Linked DNA regions of Drosophila melanogaster. The protein of the gene in region 1 interacts with the protein of each later gene in a biochemical or structural test. Each region holds a gene or a part of one and is shown in the gene's direction. Other genes may lie near its edges.

Evidence for each region. The genes of interacting proteins can lie anywhere in the genome.
Region 2: the proteins of Nrx-1 (region 1) and Spn are reported together in a solved structure, tested with the Drosophila melanogaster proteins (one study listed by BioGRID).
Region 3: the proteins of Nrx-1 (region 1) and RhoGAP100F form a complex in vitro, tested with the Drosophila melanogaster proteins (one study listed by BioGRID).

Annotation. Positions count from the first base shown.
Region 1 is NT_033777.3:22,466,136-22,473,989, forward strand, and holds the start of Nrx-1 (neurexin 1), read left to right. Parts: upstream 1-3,342; 5' UTR 3,343-4,349; coding exon 4,350-5,255; intron 5,256-5,383; coding exon 5,384-5,860; intron 5,861-5,925; coding exon 5,926-6,237; intron 6,238-6,301; coding exon 6,302-6,418; intron 6,419-6,473; coding exon 6,474-6,858; intron 6,859-6,933; coding exon 6,934-7,304; intron 7,305-7,502; coding exon 7,503-7,623; intron 7,624-7,854. Other genes in the region: Pebp1 (Phosphatidylethanolamine-binding protein 1), read left to right, coding at 1-486; CG5377 (uncharacterized protein), read right to left, coding at 1,011-1,847. UniProt on the Drosophila melanogaster protein: Neuronal cell adhesion protein involved in synapse formation, development of synaptic active zones, synaptic regulation and visual function. Plays a role in cell adhesion between the pre- and the postsynaptic cell.
Region 2 is NT_037436.4:2,549,782-2,556,239, reverse strand, and holds the start of Spn (spinophilin), read left to right. Parts: upstream 1-1,947; 5' UTR 1,948-2,182; intron 2,183-6,458.
Region 3 is NT_033777.3:31,810,816-31,817,119, forward strand, and holds the start of RhoGAP100F (Rho GTPase activating protein at 100F), read left to right. Parts: upstream 1-1,793; 5' UTR 1,794-3,011; intron 3,012-6,304. Other genes in the region: FeCH (ferrochelatase), read right to left, coding at 1-125, 185-506, 562-663, 926-1,304, 1,359-1,395. UniProt on the Drosophila melanogaster protein: GTPase activator for the Rho-type GTPases by converting them to an inactive GDP-bound state. Promotes the anchoring of Liprin-alpha clusters at synapses. Recruits and keeps Nrx-1 levels high in active zones in the presynapse opposite the postsynaptic region.

The DNA of each region.
Region 1 (7,854 bases):
GCCTCCAAGGCCACCATCACCTATCCTTCCGGCGTTCAGGTTGAGCTGGGCAAGGAGCTGACTCCCACTCAGGTGAAGGACCAGCCCACTGTCGTCTTCGATGCCGAGCCCAACTCCCTGTACACCATCCTGTTGGTGGACCCCGACGCACCCAGCCGCGAGGACCCCAAGTTCCGTGAGCTGCTCCACTGGCTGGTGATCAACATTCCCGGCAACAAGGTGTCCGAGGGCCAGACCATCGCCGAGTACATCGGTGCTGGACCCCGCGAGGGAACCGGCCTGCACCGCTACGTCTTCCTGGTGTTCAAGCAGAACGACAAGATCACCACCGAGAAGTTCGTGTCCAAGACCAGCCGCACTGGCCGCATCAACGTCAAGGCCCGCGACTACATCCAGAAGTACAGCTTCGGCGGTCCCGTGGCCGGCAACTTCTTCCAGGCCCAATACGATGACTACGTGAAGACCCTCATCGAGACGGTCCAGTAATCTGGCCACCAACTGATCAGCTCTCTGTGAAATAATAAATATTAAATATGTACTAGTTCTCATAAAAGTTATCTCATACATGCTTGTGGGCGGGTCTTTTGCTATGCGATTTCCATAAGCAGCTGAAGTATATTTTTATAAGAATTACTTTTGATAACATTTCCGGAATTAATTTAAACTTGCCCGAGGCTTTGATATCTTTCTTTGAAGTTAAGTTTATAAAAGCGAGAGAAAGAAATGTTTATAATTAATCATTTATTTCCCTTTCGCTAAGTTAGGAGATATGGTTATTTTTCAATTTATTTCGAAATGATTCATTGAATAGATAACAATATTCTTTAACTTAGATATGAATTTGATTCATCAAAACTATCAGTTTCCTTTTAAAATTCGAACTTTGAACACCTGCATGCTCATTTCTGATAACTGCTTTCACATATAACGAATATCCATCCAACTTCAAGTTACCATTGTTAAACAAGTAATGAGTTTGGATCCATGAAAGCTTAAATATATTGGTTAATCTAGTTATTTTTGTTAAAGAAATCGGCCACCAGTTTGTTAAACTCCTCCGCATAACGTAAATGGATATTATGCTTCCCCTCGGGGAACTCATAATATTCCGCATGAGGCAAACGCTCCCTCAGCCAAGGAATGTGCTCCGCTGCTATCATGGGATCCTTCTTTCCGTGGAGTATAAAAGTAGGTATCTTTATTTTCTCAACTTCGGTGCGACAGAAGTCTCCATCCCGTTGGTCATAGAAGGCGCATGCGGCGTCCACCCATTCGGCCCACAATTGGGGGAATCTTTCGACGCCGTAAACCTTTTCCATGGGCTCACGCATGCGCGGCGACCACTTGGCCACATCCCGAATGTTCTTAAGAGCCTTGACTTCGTCAGCGTTCAAGTAGGCACCTGCTCCCCAGATTGCTAGGCGATCCACAGCTTCCGCATGGCGACCTGCGACTATGAGCGCCGTGATGCCCCCATCGCTCCAGCCCAAAATGGAGAAGCGTGGTCTGTCCAGGGCACGCATCAAATCCACGGCTGCCTGGGCATCCTCCCGAAAGAATTCAAGGCCGAACTTGCGCTGCGGCGGCACTGATTTGCCATAACCCGGCGGATCCCAGGCGATGATGGTGTGACCCGGCAGCAGTTTCGGCAGCTGCTCGATCTGGGGCCTAAAGTCGGTCCACGAGGAACCCAGTGCTCCCGGCATCAGGAGTAGACTCCGCTCCCCACTGCCGCTCTCCACAATGTTCAAATCTGAGCCATTCACACGAACTTTCCGCTCCGTGTGCAGCAAGCGCCTGGTGATCGGGGAACGGGCACCCACAAGCCGGCACAGATTGCCCAGCATTACGTAAGCGGGATCTAACGGGGATTTTGGAGTATGGCAACAAACTTAGCTGCTTCTCAAGGGCTCTTCAGATGTCCAGAGAGGAATATTTGGCAAATTCTAATCTTTACACACGACGCCTTGTAAAGTGCACTTGATAAAGATCCGTTGATAACAGCTGATTGATAAGAACAGCTGTAAGTAAACGATCGAATTAGTGTGGCTGTAGGTGCGATGATGCCATATACCGTTAAATCAAAAGTAAATATACCAAAAAACTAATTTTAAAAGAATCGTTAATTTTTTAATAATTTGAAAAATATTTTCATATTGATATTTAGGCATTGGGTGATGCACTTGCATTTTTAAGAATGTTCCTGAAATTTAAAAGATTTTTCCATTCATTTTGAAGAATATTACTTGACAATGCCGAACTCTCCACAGATTTTAAAATAATGGTAGTTTAAAAGCCCTTGAAAGTTCAAGAGCTGCCGCTCAGTTTGATTTTAAGCTTTTCGCTCTTCCCCCAGCTTTTGGCATTCCCAATCTTAGTCCTTGTTAGTCCACTTGAACGTCACGACTCCGAAGGACAATGGACAGCACGTGCTGGCATTTGTTTAGCCTTTAGCGTGCGTTAAAATATTATTAAAAACCGTAAGTGCTTAATAGCAGGATCCTGGTCCCTGCTGTAATGGTCAGTGCGTGATTCGTGTGCTCAAATTAATGTGTTCGCCTGGACTGCGACGACGATTAATGGAGGCGACGGCCTTGCAATTGCTCTCCTAGGACGAAGGAGCAGGGTGATGGGATTTGACAGAGGCAGGACATACACCCACAATCGAGAGTAAGGGACATCACATTCCACTGCCAATGCAAATGCAAATCGAATTCGACTCCGAGATGTCGAAGTTGCGTAGTAAATGTCAAGGAATTTACACGGGTCGTCTCGGAGATAGTGAGCCCGGGGGGGTGTCAGCTTGAGTTGGTGTGTGTGAGTGTGCGTGCGGCCACAGGACACCCACGCACACAGCTGAACATGCATATGTGTGTATCCATGTGAATGTGGCATCTAATACGCTTTAGTGGTGCAGGTTATGAACCTGCGTGCTATTCGCTTATTACGCATGTGTGAGTGGGCAGCTGGTGTCTATGTGTGCGTTTGTGTGTTAGTAGTACACATATGCATGCCTCGTGCGAAGTAAGCGAGCTTTTAATTTTTGGCATTCCCACACACTACACTCAAAGCGTGCGGTGCTTTCCTTTTCCGTAGCACACTTTTTCGGGTAAATCAACAAAGTACCAATATAAACCATTAAATTCAAGATTTCCAGTAATTCTGAACGATTTTAACTTGTCTAAATGTAAAATCAGTAGTGTGAGGTACAAACTCCTTTGTCCAGTTCGATTGTAGTGCCATTTTCGAGTCGCCTAGACCGCACCAGTGGCTTTTTGTGAATAAGCTGGCGGAGCTTTCGTTATCCATTGGAAACAGTGCGAAGAAATTAAGTTTGAAATTGCAGTTCAGTCTTGTCGTGGATGCAGCGCGGATCGATATCGGAGCTAAAAGCAGCGGAAGGCGCTGCTAAGCAAATTTCGACACACAACATTTTTGTATCCCTCGAAATTGAACCGAAAAATCTGCAAAAATAAATTCAACCAACCAACAAAAACGAAAAGGACGCGTCGCGCTAAAATCCAGCCCGAAAAGTTACATAAAGCAGGAGCGACAAGAATATCGTGCAAATTCAAAGGAATAATTGTGTAATTGAAAAATCTGTGTGCAGTCTCTGCAACTAATTTCGTATCCAATCAATAGTTCAATCAATACGCATAAATAACTGATTGCTGTGGAATCAACCGCAGTAAAGCGCCCATTTTAGGGGCACTTGCTGTGAGGTGCTTAGAAAAATTTTCGCCTACATTTGCGATATGCAGTGAAAATTTTTTCCGATTTTTAGTATGTACATGTACGATGGAGCGCTCGTGGGCGCCACAAACTGCGGTGGCAGGGGTATCCGGCGAGCTTTTGGCCCAACCATAACCCCCAGTATTACTAATACAGCCGACTCGGTCGGAGAAACGGTTGTCTGACAAAGTATCGATGCAAAATATGCGCCGTTTTGAATTTAATTGCCAAAAATTATGCAAATCAAGTATACAAAATGCCGAAAACTGAAGGTGCTGAACATTAAGGACCAAAAAAATCAGGCGAAATCATAAGCAATAATCGGTGCAGTGCCGTTAACAGTCGACGTGTACCGTTAACATCCGCAGCCAACTTCGCGTGGCCGAGCTTTCGCTCTCGCGCGCTCTTACGCTCTCTCTTGGCAGGCGCGGATAAAACGGATTGCCGAGTAACACCAACACAAGGACACGCGAAAAGCTCGCGCTCAAGGACTGGAATACGCGACAGAAACACAGCGAGTGAGAGAGAGAGAGAGGGAGAAGGACACTTTACGTTTACGCGCGCAACGTGCGTAGGTGCCTCTGTGTGGGTAAGCCCGAGTGCCACCGTGCGTGTGAATGAAGGCGCCACATAGTGCAACATATCAGGATAACTATGCTGATGCGGCCATGACAGCCAGGACACGGCCAAGCATGGACATGGATCAGCAGCGAAATCGAAATCAGGCGGAGCTGAGGCTCCTGCCCGCCCAGCGCACCTCCACCTCCGCCTTTGAATCCCCCGACTTGCGGTTCAACAAGGCTCGCCGCCGGCGGAGAAGCGAGCAAGTGCCTCCCGTGGTCGTGGAATACCGTCGCTCCTACCGCGTGCTCATCGTCAGCGCCCTGCTGGTCAGTCTGGCGGCCAGTTTCGTGACGCTCAGCGCCGGATTCCAGCTAGATGGATCGCAAAACTCCTTCTACACCTTCCGCAAGTGGTACACCGGACTGAATGGGACCCTCGAACTGGAGTTCAAAACGGAACAGCCCAACGGATTGGTTCTCTACACCGACGACGGCGGCACCTACGACTTCTTCGAACTGAAGCTGGTGGAAGGAGCACTGCGGCTGAGATATAACCTTGGTGGCGGAGCTCAAATCATCACCGTGGGTCGGGAACTGCACGACGGCCACTGGCACAAGGTGCAGGTCCTGCGGAACGATGAGCAGACATCGCTCATCGTGGACGGCGTCTCCCAGCAGCGATCGACCAAGGGGAAGGAGTTCCAGTTCGGCAAGTTCGCGAGCAACTCGGACGTCTATGTGGGCGGTATGCCCAACTGGTACAGCAGCAAGCTGGCCCTGCTCGCCCTGCCATCCGTTATCTTCGAACCGCGTTTCCGTGGCGCCATCCGCAATCTGGTCTACGCGGACCAGCCGGGCGGCTCCACCAGGCGCCAGGAGATCAAGCAGCAGCGCGACATCAAGTGCGGCGATGTGCCCTGCGATCACGGAGAGCTGCCCGCCCGTGAAAGGCCGCTCAGGGTGAGTCCATTAGTCATTGATATACACAATACAACTTTTTATATTCTATTTAAATGATATTGATAATAAGAAAAAAGCCTCTATTTATATGTATCCCTGATTTGGTAAATAATCCTTTAATCCTGCAGGGTGTTCGGGGTGGCAACACAACCGATGCCTGTGAACGGAATGATCCTTGCCAGCACGGCGGCATCTGCATATCCACTGATTCCGGTCCAATTTGCGAGTGTCGAAACCTCGAGTACGATGGCCAGTATTGTGAGAAGGAGAAGGCGCCATCGGAAGCAACGTTCCGCGGTACACAGTTCCTCTCCTACGACTTGGGCCAGACGGGCGCCGAGCCGATAGTGAGCGCCCAGGATGCCATATCCTTCTATTTTCGCACCCGCCAGCCGAACGGTCTGCTTTTCTACACTGGCCACGGCACGGACTATCTAAATCTGGCGCTGCGTGATGGAGGCGTCTCCCTGACCATGGGTCTGGCTAATGGCAAGCAGGAGATGCACATAAAGCCCTCAAAGGTGCGCTTCGACGACCACCAGTGGCACAAAGTCACCGTGCACCGTCGCATTCAGGAGATCTCCTCCATAACCAGCTTCTGTCGGGTGGGTAACTGTTCATAGATTTTCTTGGTTCTTTATTCGAAATGGAGTTTTTTTTATCCCTGTAGCTGGTTACCGTGGTGGATGATGTCTATACGGATCACTCCCACATTGCTGGCAAGTTCACCATGCTCTCCTCCTCGCGGGTTTACGTTGGTGGTGCTGTTAATCCTCGAGCGCTTTTGGGTGCCCGTGTGCACACTAACTTCGTGGGCTGCCTGCGCAAGGTGGAGTTCTCAGCGGATACGCTTAATCTGAACCTCATAGACCTGGCCAAGAGCGGTTCCAAGCTGATCCAGGTTGCTGGCAATCTGGAATATCAGTGCCCCAGTGGCGATCCACAGGATCCCGTGACCTTCACCACTCGCGAATCGCATTTGGTAAGTTGAAACCTGTATGAAAATACGAAAAGTAATGAATTAATATTTGATTGTTATTTTAAAGGTCCTTCCTCCCTGGGAAACTGGCAAGCAGAGTTCTATAAGCTTCAAATTTCGCACCAAAGAACCGAATGGCATCATTGTCCTGGCCACAGGATCCAAGCAACCACGGGCCAAAAACGTGAGTCTACTCATTAGGTTATCTTGAGCCATTTTGCATAATTTGAATCCATCAGCCCGTTTTGATTGCCATTGAGCTGCTGAATGGGCACATCTACATCCATTTGGACCTCGGATCCGGAGCCTCCAAGGTGCGAGCCTCGCGACGTCGCGTGGACGATGGCGACTGGCATGACCTGATTCTTCGGCGGAATGGACGCGACGCCAAGGTGAGCGTGGATGGGGTGTGGAACGACTTCCGGACGCCCGGTGACGGCACCATCCTCGAGCTGGACGGGCACATGTACCTGGGCGGAGTGGGTCCCGCCTACAATAGCGTGTCCTGGCCGGCGGCCATTTGGACGGCCACGCTGCGCCAGGGATTCGTAGGCTGTTTGCGTGACCTGGTGCTGAGTGGCAAGGCGATCGATATAGCGGCATTTGCACGTGTCCAGGATTCGGGTGAGTAGTCACGCCAGCGATGGTCATCCACTGATAGCGCGTAACCCGATACTTGTAACCCACTTGGGCACACAGCCTCCGTGAAGCCATCATGCCATGTGCAGGCCAACGTTTGCAACGGCAATCCCTGCCTGAACGGAGGCACCTGCCTGGAGGGCTGGAATCGACCTATTTGCGACTGCTCGGCCACGCTGTACGGAGGACCCACCTGTGGACGGGAACTCGCCACGCTGGCCTTCAACGGCAGCCAGCACATGACCATCTGGCTGGGCAATGGACAAGGCACCAAGACGCAGACCGAGGAGCTGGTCATCCGCTTCAAGACCTCGCGTCCGGCAGGACTCCTGCTGTTGACCAGCGCGGAGTCCAACTCGCCGGATCGTCTGGAGATCGCTCTGGTGGCGGGAAGGGTGCGGGCCAGTGTGCGGTTGAGCGATCGTGAGAAGGTAAGTCTTTCCGTGGGAGGTGCTCAACGTGGCAACATTTGTCCTTCGCTCCAGAAAATCACCTTTAACTTTCAGCCTTGGGTAAATAGTATTTTATTTTAGTTATGTCTGTATTGTAAGCCCAAGGTCAATGCAAAATTAAATATGATTTTCGAGGGCATTGGGACAGCTTTCTGAGTGTGTGATAATCCCTTCCAGAACTTGCTGGCCGGCCAGTCGGTGCTCAACGACAACAACTGGCACACGATCCGCTTCTCGCGCAGAGCCTCCAATCTGCGGCTGCAAGTCGACGGGGCTCCCCCCGTCAGGGGTATGTTATGTATGTATCAACAGCACATCTATGCCCTACTACGTGTCGTGCCGTGTCGTTTTTTTTTACCAACCAACTGAACCAACCAATGAACCAACCAATCGACAACCTACCAACCCCCTTCGTAGGCTCATAGGATACCCCCAGCGATTAGCTTCCATAAAAGGTGCTCCACGCACCGCTCGCAGGTTCAAGTTCAAGTAGGAATGCCAATGGCCTCTCGGCAGGAAGGTGTGTGAA
Region 2 (6,458 bases), on another chromosome or scaffold:
CTTGTGCTTATGAAATTCACCACGACAACGTTTCAATTAGTAAATGTGCTAAGAAAACTCGATCAACGCGAGTCTATATATATATATATACATATATATATATATATATATATGTGTATAAAATAATCTACTTAATATTTAGAAACGAACATTTCAAGCTCACTCGTCGAGGTTTTTTGTCAGATCTGGTCAGAAAAAAAACCGCAATTAAAGCAATTCGTATCCTCCATCCTTTCGATGTATGTATATTAACGTTACATAACTGAACAAACACCCAGCACACACGATTCAGATTCAGATTCATTTCAAATGTCGTTTCACGATTGTGTATGATTTCGCTTACAAGTTAAACTTAAGTTGAAAGTTAGCAACGCAGCATAAGCCCACAAAACATACAAGTATATCGAATTTTCTGCGCACAGCAGAAAATATAGAAGAAAATATATGCAGTTAGTTTTTGTTCTTGATATTATCAAATAGAATTTATTTGTGCGTTTCTGATAAATACGTGTTAGTGGAGAGAGAGCAGAGGAAATTTATACATTTTATGCAAATGCAAATGCAAATGGAAATCGAAGCGAAGCGAAGCAAAGCAAAGCAAACAAAACCCACATAAAACGCCATTGTAAAAACTAAGTGATAAACAAGTAAATAATTGATTAATGTAAAATAAAGCCGAAAGCAACACAAAACCCAAGCAAGCTTGCAACAATTGAGGAAATCCAATGGAAGTATAGAAACGCACCACGTCGTTTGCGAGGAGAGCTACCTTAATAACGAAATTGGAGGGAATTACAAAACGAGAACCTAGTTAAGCTGCATTTTTTACTGAACTTTTATACAGAGCCAAGAGAATGATGAAAACAAAAGCAAAAATAACGGATGAACGAATCGAGGAGGGAAATTAAACCAAAATTCTATAAATCGTAGCATGTTAAAATTGATAACCATCTCCGCTTTTTGTACTGTGTGCATTTCTTTGTGTTTTCACTAGCTTCAATATCAAAAGTGGTCACGTTGCAATATCTCTATATCGAGTGCATATAGAAGAATCTTGTCCCCAACTGGCACACACTCCAATGTCCCCAATGAAACACTAATTCTGCCTTATTTTATGTTGTTTGCGTGATTTCGCCCCACTCCCTTCTCTTCCACACGAAAAAGTCTCATGAAGAAGTATATTTAAAATATTGTTTGTTTTTGTGTTATAAACTGATTGTACGCCCCCGTATTTAGTAATGTTCATCCAAGCAAAATGGAAAGATAAGTGCACCAACATGCACGTCTAAAGCAACAAAAAAAAAAAATAAAAGAATTAGTAATAAATGCTTACTTTATTTCTAAAATAAAACAAGTAAAATGGTACAGAAATGAATGTAAATCTAATTATTATATATATATAATCTCAAAATTAAAAAAAAAAAATACAACAAAAGATCCGCATTTTATTTGCCGGTTGGTATTTATTATTAAGAAGTTATTTTAATACAAAAGGTATTTTAAAATTCGGTCACCAAACGAATATTTCAATATTTAACATGAATGTAGAGAGCTTTCTACTGGTTTGAGTCTTTGCTAGTTTTTACATTACCTTACAAATGACCTAAAGTGAATAATACAGATTTACTATAATTTTCTTAAAAACTTAAGCTCTTTAAATATTAAATATTGAGCTGCATTTTCAAGCGTTGTGCGTTTCCTAAGGAAAAATAAATTTGAATTTCGTAAAATGGCCAAAGCAATGCCAGTTTAGAACACAAACTTTTTGAAATGTAGCGCTGATTGCTCGAATATAAGTGAATAAATCGAATATTATTAGCAAGTTATCAGTGAGACCGCACTTGAATCGAGAATTAAAAACCCATAGCGCCAAAACAATTCACCGATAGTATCGAATAGTCGTCTCCTATCGTACCAGCTCTAAAAAAACAAAGCAAAACCAAAATCGGCCCGAAATTCAAGCTAAACGGACGCGTTTTCGTCGCGAGTTTAACCGCTGCAAAAATATCAACAATAAGTATAAATTGCCGCGGGTACTGAGTTCATATGATGATCGAGTGATTTTTTTCATCGTACAATTAACGTCCTTCGAAATAGGATATATTCGAGTATTCCGGGTCGCGAGTATTTAAAAAAAAGGATTTGTGTATACCGAAAGGGCTAAACAAAAAGCTTTTTAAAGGTAAATCCCAGCAAAGGAGTGTTAAATGGAGTTTGGCGAAAAGCTAATGTGCCGGAAAAAAGTACAAAACAGTGCGAATGAAAATAAAAAGACGCCGACTATATGTGTATAAGGTCCATGTGTATGTGTGAAAAAATCCTGGACAACGCCACTCCTTTTGCGCAAAGAAATTTAATAAAAAAAAACGCAATGAAGCTGTATATAGAGAGCAAAACGAAGCTGCGCCGGAGTTGAACGAAATACGAAGTGTAAATTGGGGGTGTGGGTGCCACACAATTCCGGGTGTACGCAAATATTTTGAAACGAAATCGCCATTAAATTCAGGTTCCGATTTTAGTGCAAATACAACGGTAAAACAATGAAATTGCATTTGGAGTAGCGGCATTTTTAGGGGTGTGTGTGAGTTCGAGTCCTGTCGTCCTGCTTGCACCCTCTGCGCAGAAGCAGGACAGCAAAAAACCCCCGAAAAAACAATTGCAAATTGCAGAATTGCGAGCGAAACACGAAAATACGAAAATAGTTTCGGCCAACAGCTGGCGAAGTTTCAGACACCTGGCGAAAAAACCAACATGGGACACTTAAACAGTTAAACGGTTCTCCTTTTTATGGCTTTTAATAACTGGTTTCGCAGAGCCTTTTCGCGTAGGTGCGAGCGAGCAGGAAGTATGCCCCAACCAAAGAACCGTTGATCGCAAAATGCAACTCCGATCGGGTGGGAATGAGTAAGAGAAGCGGGAGAGAGGGGGAGCGAGAGCGAGATGGAGACTGGGTGATAAAAAACCATAACATAACAAAACAAAACAAAACGAAAGCAAGTGACTTTTGTTTTTCTCTTGTTGTCTTAGGTTCTGTTTGCATGTGTGGGTTTCTTCTGATAATTTCGCTATCGTTGTTTTGGCCTTATTTATCGCCGTTCTTTGTTTTGCAATTCTGCGAGTGGCCGCAATTTATGCAAATATGCAGAAATCACAATTCTATTTGCACTATTTCCTCAATAAAAAATCGCTGGCGAGGCCAAGAACATTATATTGTTGTTAAACTCAGCTCTTCGCGGGTACAATTTCACCCTCTTTTGTGCGTCGCGTGCTCTGCGCTTCTTTTTCTCATTTGTTTATTTTTAGTTGCGGAATTTCTGGTTACAAACCGTATTTAATTTCAACGACTTCCCTCTGTTGTGCTCCTTATTCTCCACTCCCGCTTCCACTTCCTTCGTCGTCTTCTTCTCTCTCTGCTCCTTTGTCTCGCAGAAACAGTTGCGCTTCATGTCAGTCCCCAATACACTGAGAAAAAATGTGGTATCTGATGCTTATCTCAATTTAAAGGTCTTGTATTAAAATTAACGTATAGTGTGTGGTAGAGAATAAAATTTTCATACAATATCTTTATAGATAAACCATATCTAACGCTTTTTCCAGTGCACTGGAAGAGGGAGCTCCAAAAGATACAATAAGGGGAGTTTGGGGTAGAACACAACAAGATGAAGGGCCCGCCTTTGTTTTATGACTTCTGTGTATATTTATTTATAGTTGCTTCACTTTAATGTTTCAATTTTTATTTCCACACAATATCCATCGTCAATTTGTCGGCGACTTAAAAACTCATAAAGTATTCAGCTATTTTCCGGCGTCATTAAACTTTCGCCCACGCTCGAGCAATTTGCATAAACTTAATTAGTCAAATGCAGGCACAAAAAGTTATTCAACAAATTATTCTTAATTAACGAAACAGCCAAAATCGCATAGCATTTGACAGATTGAACATTCAAATGCGTTAATTTTCATGCAAATCTGGGCATTATGCTAATGCCTTTGAGTAGCCAAAAGTTAATTCAACGCCTTGAATTTATAGTTTCACCATTTTGGCATTTATGGAAAACTTTTGCAACGGCTTAAATGTTCTCAAAACTGCACCGAGTATTTCAAAAAAGTTGTTCTTCATTAAAAAAAAAAACCATATAGGAAGCCAGATGACAGATCAAACATTAAATAGCAATAATCTTGATTATGTGCCAAAGCTTGAACATGAATAATTGTTTCATATTATTCAGTTTTGTTTATGGAAAATCTTGACATCTGCTGATCAGATTAAAGAATTTAACTTTTCAAAAAAATTACCAAAGTTGAAAGACTTTGATTTATTGCTTCACATTTATGCTATTTATTTTACTTCTGAATCTTGTCGCAACTATTTCCACAGAAATCCAGATCGCAGATCTGTGTGAATTAAATAAATCAAACGCAAACAGACAAGAGAATAGTTATTCAAGAGATTATTCTTAATTAAAGAAGTAGACAGACTCTGTTTTCGTGTAAATCTGAGTTTTATGTTAATCACTGATATGTATATTGTTTTTTTTTACTTTTCGCATTTATGGAAATCTTTTGCAATGCTGAGACCGGCAAAAAGTCAACTATTTCGAACGAAATCGAGATCACAGATATCTCCGAACTCTTGAGTGTTATGTTTTTCCGTTTGTTTTTGTATCTTTTTTCGGTGGCCCACGCGCAGCTGGCGAAATCAAGTTTAGGAATTCCCCCGTAGCCCCCTAAAAAAATATAGATACCCCTGACTTTATCTCTTGCGTCACTTGATTTGGCGCAAGCTTAGCACACGACTCTTTTGGGTCCATTTTTTGCGCCATATGATCTTGGATCTCTGGCATTTTTAGTCGACTTTTCAATGAAAACCCATAGCCACAATAGTAGCTATAGGTGTATATATCTATGTATCTCTACTGATATTAACAGTCGCCGCAAAATGTCGCCTTTATTTATTCATCCACTTTTTTTTCCTACCTTTTTTTATGAGGCTGCCGTTTGGCGATCCGCCATATAAGGCATCTAAATTGTGTGCGCGTTTGGGTCTTGGATTTTCGGTTGATCAATGATCATGATTCGTTCATGGCTTGGGGCCATTCGGCTTTTATTGTCTGAGGAAAAGCGATATTAGCTAAGCCTAATGTGGCCATTTGTGGCTTGATTTTTATTTGATTGTTACAGGGTTCACTGAACCCAGGTTGCAGTTCAATTAGTCGGTCGAATTTGGCAGAGAAATAGTGGTAATACATGTTAGAAAAACTTGAACTTGATACGAGTACTGACATTAGACTATAGTAGGATTAAATAAGACTTGGTGCTGTTTTAAACTTCTTTATATCCAGAATACTTTCATATAATTATCGTATGCCGCTCCGCATGAGATTCCAATGATTACGCCAGTTGCATTTAGGTAATTGATAGTTGGCCACAGCTGCAGTGGTCCATGGGGCCGGAGCGGACCCCATTCCCGCCCAGAGTTCAACCCACACCTCTCTAACGGCCATGCAACCACTTGCGCACCACTTTGTCCACTTGTCCGGACAGCAAACTGAAAAAAACCCTGTGGAACAACTTGAAATGTTTGTGTAACCCACGGCGAAACAAAACCGAAACACAAAACCAGAGAGGGGAAAACATGCGGCAGGCGAAGCTTTCGAATCACATAACGTACAACACCGAAAATGGGTGGGTTATACTGCCCCACTTGAGGCACTCCTCCTCCGGATGCCGCCTCCTTATCCCCGATCGATATGTATATGTATATGTACCTAATGAGCCTGCGGGCTCTGTCGTTGGGCATTATTAACATACGTTTGGTATGGACATCCCATCAAGTTTCTGTCTGCCAGGCGTTTAACCCTCTGAACAAAAGAGGATTACTTCCCTTAATAAGTCAAACGAAATGGCTAGTTGGGAATTATAAGGCAGAAGAGTGGAAATGTTTCACTATATTTCCCACACTATATGTTAACATAATGTAATGCAACGTTGTTAATTTCTTAATTAACAAGTTTTTAAGCCAATTACAAAAACATTACTGTAACTTTTATAAGCTGTCGCGTTGTCGAAGGCTTTAACCCTACGTGGTAGTTTCTGAATTATGCAATTTAGCAACCTTCAGTGGCTGCAATTGCAACTGCAGCGAGATTGAAACGAATGAGTTAGGAAAAGAGCTGAGATAGAACTGCCGAGCATGAGATTCCGAAGTTGCATGACTGGTCTCTCCGTCGCAGCTTAGTTAACAATGTAAATTGCACCATCCATCGCCACCTTCAAGGTTCATTCTCAGCCCCACCCACCACCCACTGCAAAAACAAAAAACACGCAAACTTCAAGCGAAATATAATACTGTTCATAACATTATGGATCTGCGTTTGGTCCTAATTAATTGGCAGCTAATTTAGGACACCTCCCCGCCTGGTTTCAGTCCTCATATCCAGCCAATCCCCATTTCCAGC
Region 3 (6,304 bases), 9.3 Mb from region 1:
ACGCCTACCTCCTTGGCCAGTTCGTCGCAGTACTCGATGTCGAGCTCATGCAGCGTCTCGATGTGCTCGTTCACGAAGGCAATGGGCACAAGGATGAAGTTCTTCAGGCCTTGCTTAACATAGCCCTGTAAAGATGGGATTGGTTTTAGTGGATGGGAATGGAAATCCGGCATTAAAGTTACACCTTAATGGCATCATCAGTTGCGGGCGCCAGCCAGGGTAGCGGGCCCACCTTGGATTGCCATGCCAGGCTGTAGGGATTCGTCTGACCAAGTTCCTGCATCACCATGTGTACGCTAGCACCAATCTCCGAGGGATACGCGTCACCCCGGTTCACAGCCTTAAGGGGAAGGGAGTGGGCAGTGAAGAGGATGACCACATCATTTCGTTTCGTTTCCACAAATTTGGCCAGCTCGTCGCGAATTCGCTGGGCAAACGTTTTGATTAGAAGTGGATGAGTGCCCCACCTGTCGATAATGCTCCATTTGATATCCGAGGGCAGATTACTAAAGAGGTAGAGGGGATCAAATAAATAGCTGCAATTGTGCATTTCTAACTCACTTGCTCCGATAATGAGTAAATATGGAGTTAAAGCTGGATCCGGAGGTGGCGCAGCTGTACTGTGGATATTGTGAAAAGAGTACAACGCGCTCTGGTTTGTCCCTGTAAATATGTTAAAATATTAACATGTATTCTTTAAGTAGCGCAAATGACCATAATTTCCAGGTTTAGGTTTCAGTAATTTGTCCAAGAAGTCAACTGATAATAGCAGGACATTGAAACATGCATAAGAAGTCAGAAGTCTATACAAACTTATTTACTAGAACATATCTTATTGTGAGAGTCCGTAGCAATATATATAGGTCAATTTCACGACCTTCGGATTATTTACATCACTCTTGTTCTACTTCTCGACTACACTCACTTTTCGATCTCGGCCAGCGTGTTCTCAGTGAGGGGATTCACGTAGCGGAAACCGACGTAGTGCTTGTGAGGTGCTGTCTCCGGGGAGATTCTGTCCAACTGCTCGCACATGAGCTGGCCCTGCAGCTCGGTCCACTTAAGAATCGGTGAACCACCGCCGATCTCCTTGTACTTCTTCTGTACCTCGGGCGTCCTGCGCTGGGCGATCCACGGACCAAGACGGCTCTGCACCGGCAGCTGGATCATGTCCCGGTCGGTCATAATACGCAGGAGGTAGTCATGCACCTGGTCCGTGTGGGTCGGACCGCCCATGTTCAGCATTAGGATCGCGGTCTTCGGTTTTTGGCCGCTCAGGTTGCGCACTCCTCCTGCCAGACCACCTGTTGGGGAATATGTAGGAATGTCGTGGGAACTGTATCCACTCGTATACTCACTTGCCAGTCTGCAAAACTTTGTGTTATGCAAAAACATAGTTCCTTTTAAATTGACCCAAATTGATGGCACCGGTGTCGAATAGTGTTACCAGTTGCTAAAATAGTTTAAATACCAAAATGTATGATCTCACAGATTCTAGAGTTTTTCCAAACGTAACAGAGTTCTGTAAAAAGTAACCGTCACGCCATCTATGTGTGTAAAATAGCTGCCAACTATTACTCAACAGTAATCTAAATATTTAAAAATTTTTCCTTTTGTTACACATTTACCATTTAATTTCTCTTTATTGAAACCGAAACCAATATTTGGTATATACTGTTCTTCAAGCGACCAACAGAAATTTTTCGCGCATGCGTCCTTATTTCTTTCCCTTGTCATCAACGCTGCGTGCAACGGTAAAAGCTGACTGTGGTGCAGTCTCGCTCTTGCACGCTGCATTTCGCTCTCGTCGCTTGCTGCGAGTGTTTCGTTTCCTCCGATCAAATAATATTTTGTAGTTTTTCCACCGAATGCAGGCACAATTGCTTCGTAAAAACGCAATAAAAGGCGCGGCCCATGGTCCGAAAAGATAAGAAAGCTTGAAAAACAACCGAAAGTGTCGTTTAACATCGGAGAAAAGCAAAAGGACAAGCGGCGCAGCACAGTGAAAAAAACGTAGGAAGTTTTGGAGTGAGTGAGAGGGAAGGAGTTCCACCGCGGTGGTGGGTGTACGTGCGCGAGTATTGGTGATGTGTCCATGTCCGTGTTATCGCCACCAGCATTAAAGTGCTCCAATTCGTGGCGCACGCGCAGAATAACTAGCGCTCTCTTGCTCTCTTTCTCGACTTAGAAGAGGAACAGGATATTTTATTATACTGAAATTCCTACTCAGGAAATTCGCATAGTTGCGAAAGCTTCGCGCTGCCACACGGACGCATTCCGCTACGGGTTCCCCGCACCACCCACACACTCTCACACCCGCCTGCCGCGAGCCCACACACCGCGCCCGCAAGCACTCTCGCGCACAGATCAATGAAAAGGCCAAAAAATAAATTGCACCTTTTCCGGGAACCAAAAACATGTTGAAATTATCTCACAAGTTACGCAAAAAATGCCGCAGCAAAAAAGTTGCATGGGATGCCGTGAATGCGACGAAAGTGTGAAACGAAACGAAAGGCAACGAAAGACGGTGCAGAAAGGAGCAAAGAGAGGCTGCAAGGATGTACTGCTTCTCAAAATCCCAAGCCATTGACCACCGAATCAGCGATAAGTCTCTAACAACAAAAACCTGCACCTAGCCAATTGCATTTTGCATTCGCATTCTTACTGCCCCGGAAGTAAAAGCAGCTTCAGCGGAAATTAAAACCAATCAAAGCCGAAATAAAAGGTAACGCTAGCGAGCGAAAGAGATAGACATTTTTAGAGAAAAAGAGAGAGCAAGAGAGAGCTACCATAGAGAGCAAGTGCATCCTTTTCACAACGCGGCACACATTTACGACCGGTGACTGCAACTAGCCCACTCCCATACCTCCGCCCCTCTTCAACCCGACCCCAGTTGTCCCTTGCAATTTGTGATCTCACGTTTTCATAACTTGGGCAGTAGCCGTTGGCACGGATTAGACGCAAAACGTCAAGCATTAGGACGTCAGGAGAAACGCAGTTCCACAGTGCAGGTGAGTTTTCAACAAAGGGACCTATCCAGGAAACTCACTGGCGGCTATGCATTTAGTTAATTAAAAAACTATTTGAAGGGTGAAAAGTCCATCATAGGAAATGACCTTGTCGCTATCAAATTCGGCTGTGCTTGATAAGGCTCCCACAACTCGAATAAGCGATCATTTGTGGCAAGTGTGATTATGCGCAATTTTCTGTTAAAACAAATCCTGTTTCCAGAACTTCTAATGCTTTGTTGGTTAGCGTTATTTTGCCTTTTACTAAAAACCTTTTGAAAGAAAAGGAAACGTCTTCTGATAGGCTATCATCATTCATTGTAGTCATTGGAGGTGGAGGTTCCAATTTAATCGTAAGAAAACATGGCATATCGTCAAATCAATTCGAGCAAATGTAATATAAGCGGTGTCTATTCCAGCAGCAAATTATTTCAAGATCTCCTCTATTACACACAAGAGATGAAGATCTAGGATATATACGACTAGGTGAGAGGAACAGAAAGCAAAACATTTACCGCGACATTAACAATCAAAAATCTTGTTTGGACGCTTTTTATGCTCAAAGCCCCCATAACTTTTTACACCCCGAATCGCCCCTTCAGTCCGCCAAACTACCCCCAAGCTAAAAGCTTTGCTCCAATTTACCAGCAAACAGAGAACTTTGTGTGGAGCCCCATACCATACAAATAATTTAAAAAAGCTGAGCCGCACAACTATCTTAATTTTATGTTAGAACTAAAGCCCCTTGTATAAAAAAAATGATAGCAAGCCTCTTACGGTAGCCAAAAATGGATTTCCATAGAGACCATTAAAATCGCTTGGTACTTTTTGTTGTATTAATTTACGTTGTTATTTATTAACTTATTTTAAGGCAGTATTGTTCACATATAGAAAATCTTTAAACAGAAAGTTATTTTTAAAATTGCATATTATTTTGTTTGGTCCTTATGTGTGTGGTATAAGCCGAGCTGTAATACAACATGTGGATGGCGACTTCCATTCTGTGCAGCCATAATTCCATCTTTTTGATTCTGCCCTCACTAATTAGATAAATTCACAGTTTCCCCGCAACTTTGCTAGTTTTTATGGTTTCGAGCATATTTTTGGCATTTTAATGCGACTTCTATCCGTCGTCCAAATGGCGAGTTGGGAGCTCCAAATTCGGAGTTGCGAGTTTCTAGTTGCGGGTTGCTGGTGGCATGTTGCACAGTCGTCAGGTGAGTCAGCTGAGCACCGGCAGAAAGGACCACATGGCGCGAAGCGACTGCACTGAAAATTGGGGTTTTACCATGCAGATAATGGGATCCGATCTGAAAAGTAAATGATCGTAATATCGGTTGTCAAGAGCTGCGAGTCAGTTGTGGGGCCTTTTCGCGTTACAATTATAAGCTGAGCCGATAAATATAACTTCTAAAAGAAAGAGTATCCTTTTTTTGCCTCAGTGGGTGTGCAGTCGCATGAGCGTGCGGCAAAGCCCAGTGGGTGTGGGTGGGATGGTGGGTTTGCGGGTTAGGGTCCGACGGTCCCCAGTGGTGGGTCTGTGTTTCTTCTTTCGATGTATATTCCTTTGTCGGGTGCTACTAACCAGTCAAAGTGTGGAAAAGGGACTCATGGGGATGTGGCGTTGTGGATAAACTTCAACGCAGCAATAACCATACCAAACCAAATAATGCCATGATGGGGTTACAACTGAGCCCAAAGAGGGAAATCGATAAATCTGCCTGTCGTCATTGTAGCACTGCCTCAAGTAAAAATAATTTTAAAGTTTAAAATTCATATCGATATCTTATTAAATTCGGTTTTCACTATTTATGACAATTTCGTAATATTTGGATTCTGATGTACTTGCTTGCTGCGGAAAGTCTCCGTTTTTTGCTATTTGATAAATTATTTGCTATTTTTGCCGCTGGAATGGAGTGCGGGCAAGCTTTGTCACTCATTTATGGACACACATAGCGAGCTCAATTTGTGATGTCATTATAATACATTTTATGCGTGCCTAGACAACATTCCCGGCGACTGGCGACTGGTAAAGTTGTTCTCGATGTGGTAATGGGTGTAGCTGCTGCTGTTGGTGAACACCCAGGCAACATCTTTCCTCGTGACGGCTGTTCTCTGTCGCTACTGCGACTGTGACACAAAGTATCTTGTATATACATGTTCCAGCTCATGCAGCTCCCCGCTTCCTAGAAAGGAATTATGAATAGACATTTTTCCGTTCCATACCTAGTACACCCGGAAGTGATGCTGTTTAAGCTCTGTGAGCAAAATATCTGGTTCTATCCACTAACATATATGTTAATTCCAGTATTGCTCGTTCAATGTATTTCCTATATTTCCTCTTTTTCGAAATTTCGGAGTACAATTTTAAGACTTTTATCGTCCGTAAGGATAGTCATTGACATCACTGGAACTAGCGTTGAAAACTGGCAAGGAAATCAGTTGTCAGTGACGCAGCTGGACCCCCTGACATGTTCGTGAGGACATAGCTCCACATTCTTCTTTGTACATTTGAATGTCCTGTGCACGATTGTAACATTTTTCATTGCAATTACTACGGCGGGAGCAACGGAGGAGGCGTTCGAGGAAGGCAAGCTGCTTTCTGGAAAAAAATCTGGAGTTGTGGCAATGTGCCATCCAAGGCTTTACTGGTTTCCTTTAATGTCGATGACAGTGATCATCCTGATGATGATGATGAATAATCTGACTGAGGATGGCATAGGGGCCACTCAATGTTAAGCCCTTGTGTGTTGATTGTTATTGGCTCCTGTTTTAGTATGAATGATATATATAAGTGTTCCTACAATTTTTTGTGTCCCTATCTCTTTTCCATTCTACTAAAACAAAACAGACACCATTTTTAATAAAAAACATAAGTTTACTATTGAGGGCAAAGGACTGTTACTTTGTTCACTTTACAGGAAGATATTAGAAAGGAATTAACCATGCCTTTATTATTTTGGTATAAGCCATTCCAGTCCTCAACAGGATCCGAAGGAAAATGTTCCTCACAAGGGCCTAGCAAAAAGCAAGTTCAGCTTCCTAACGAAAACTGGGCCAACACAATTAGCCCAAAGGCCAGGCTGGTCCGCTTCATTACCATAAATATACAGCTATGGGAATGAGCGCGCATTTTGCCAAGGATGTACCAGAACCAGAAGTGGCCCACATTCGCTAAAAAGCCCTCAATGCAAGAAATGTGTCCTTGGTTAGATGTAATTAATGTTTAAAACTTTAATATTAGCATTAATATAGGCATTTTTTTCTTTTGATTAAAAAGTGGAATATAGTTACAT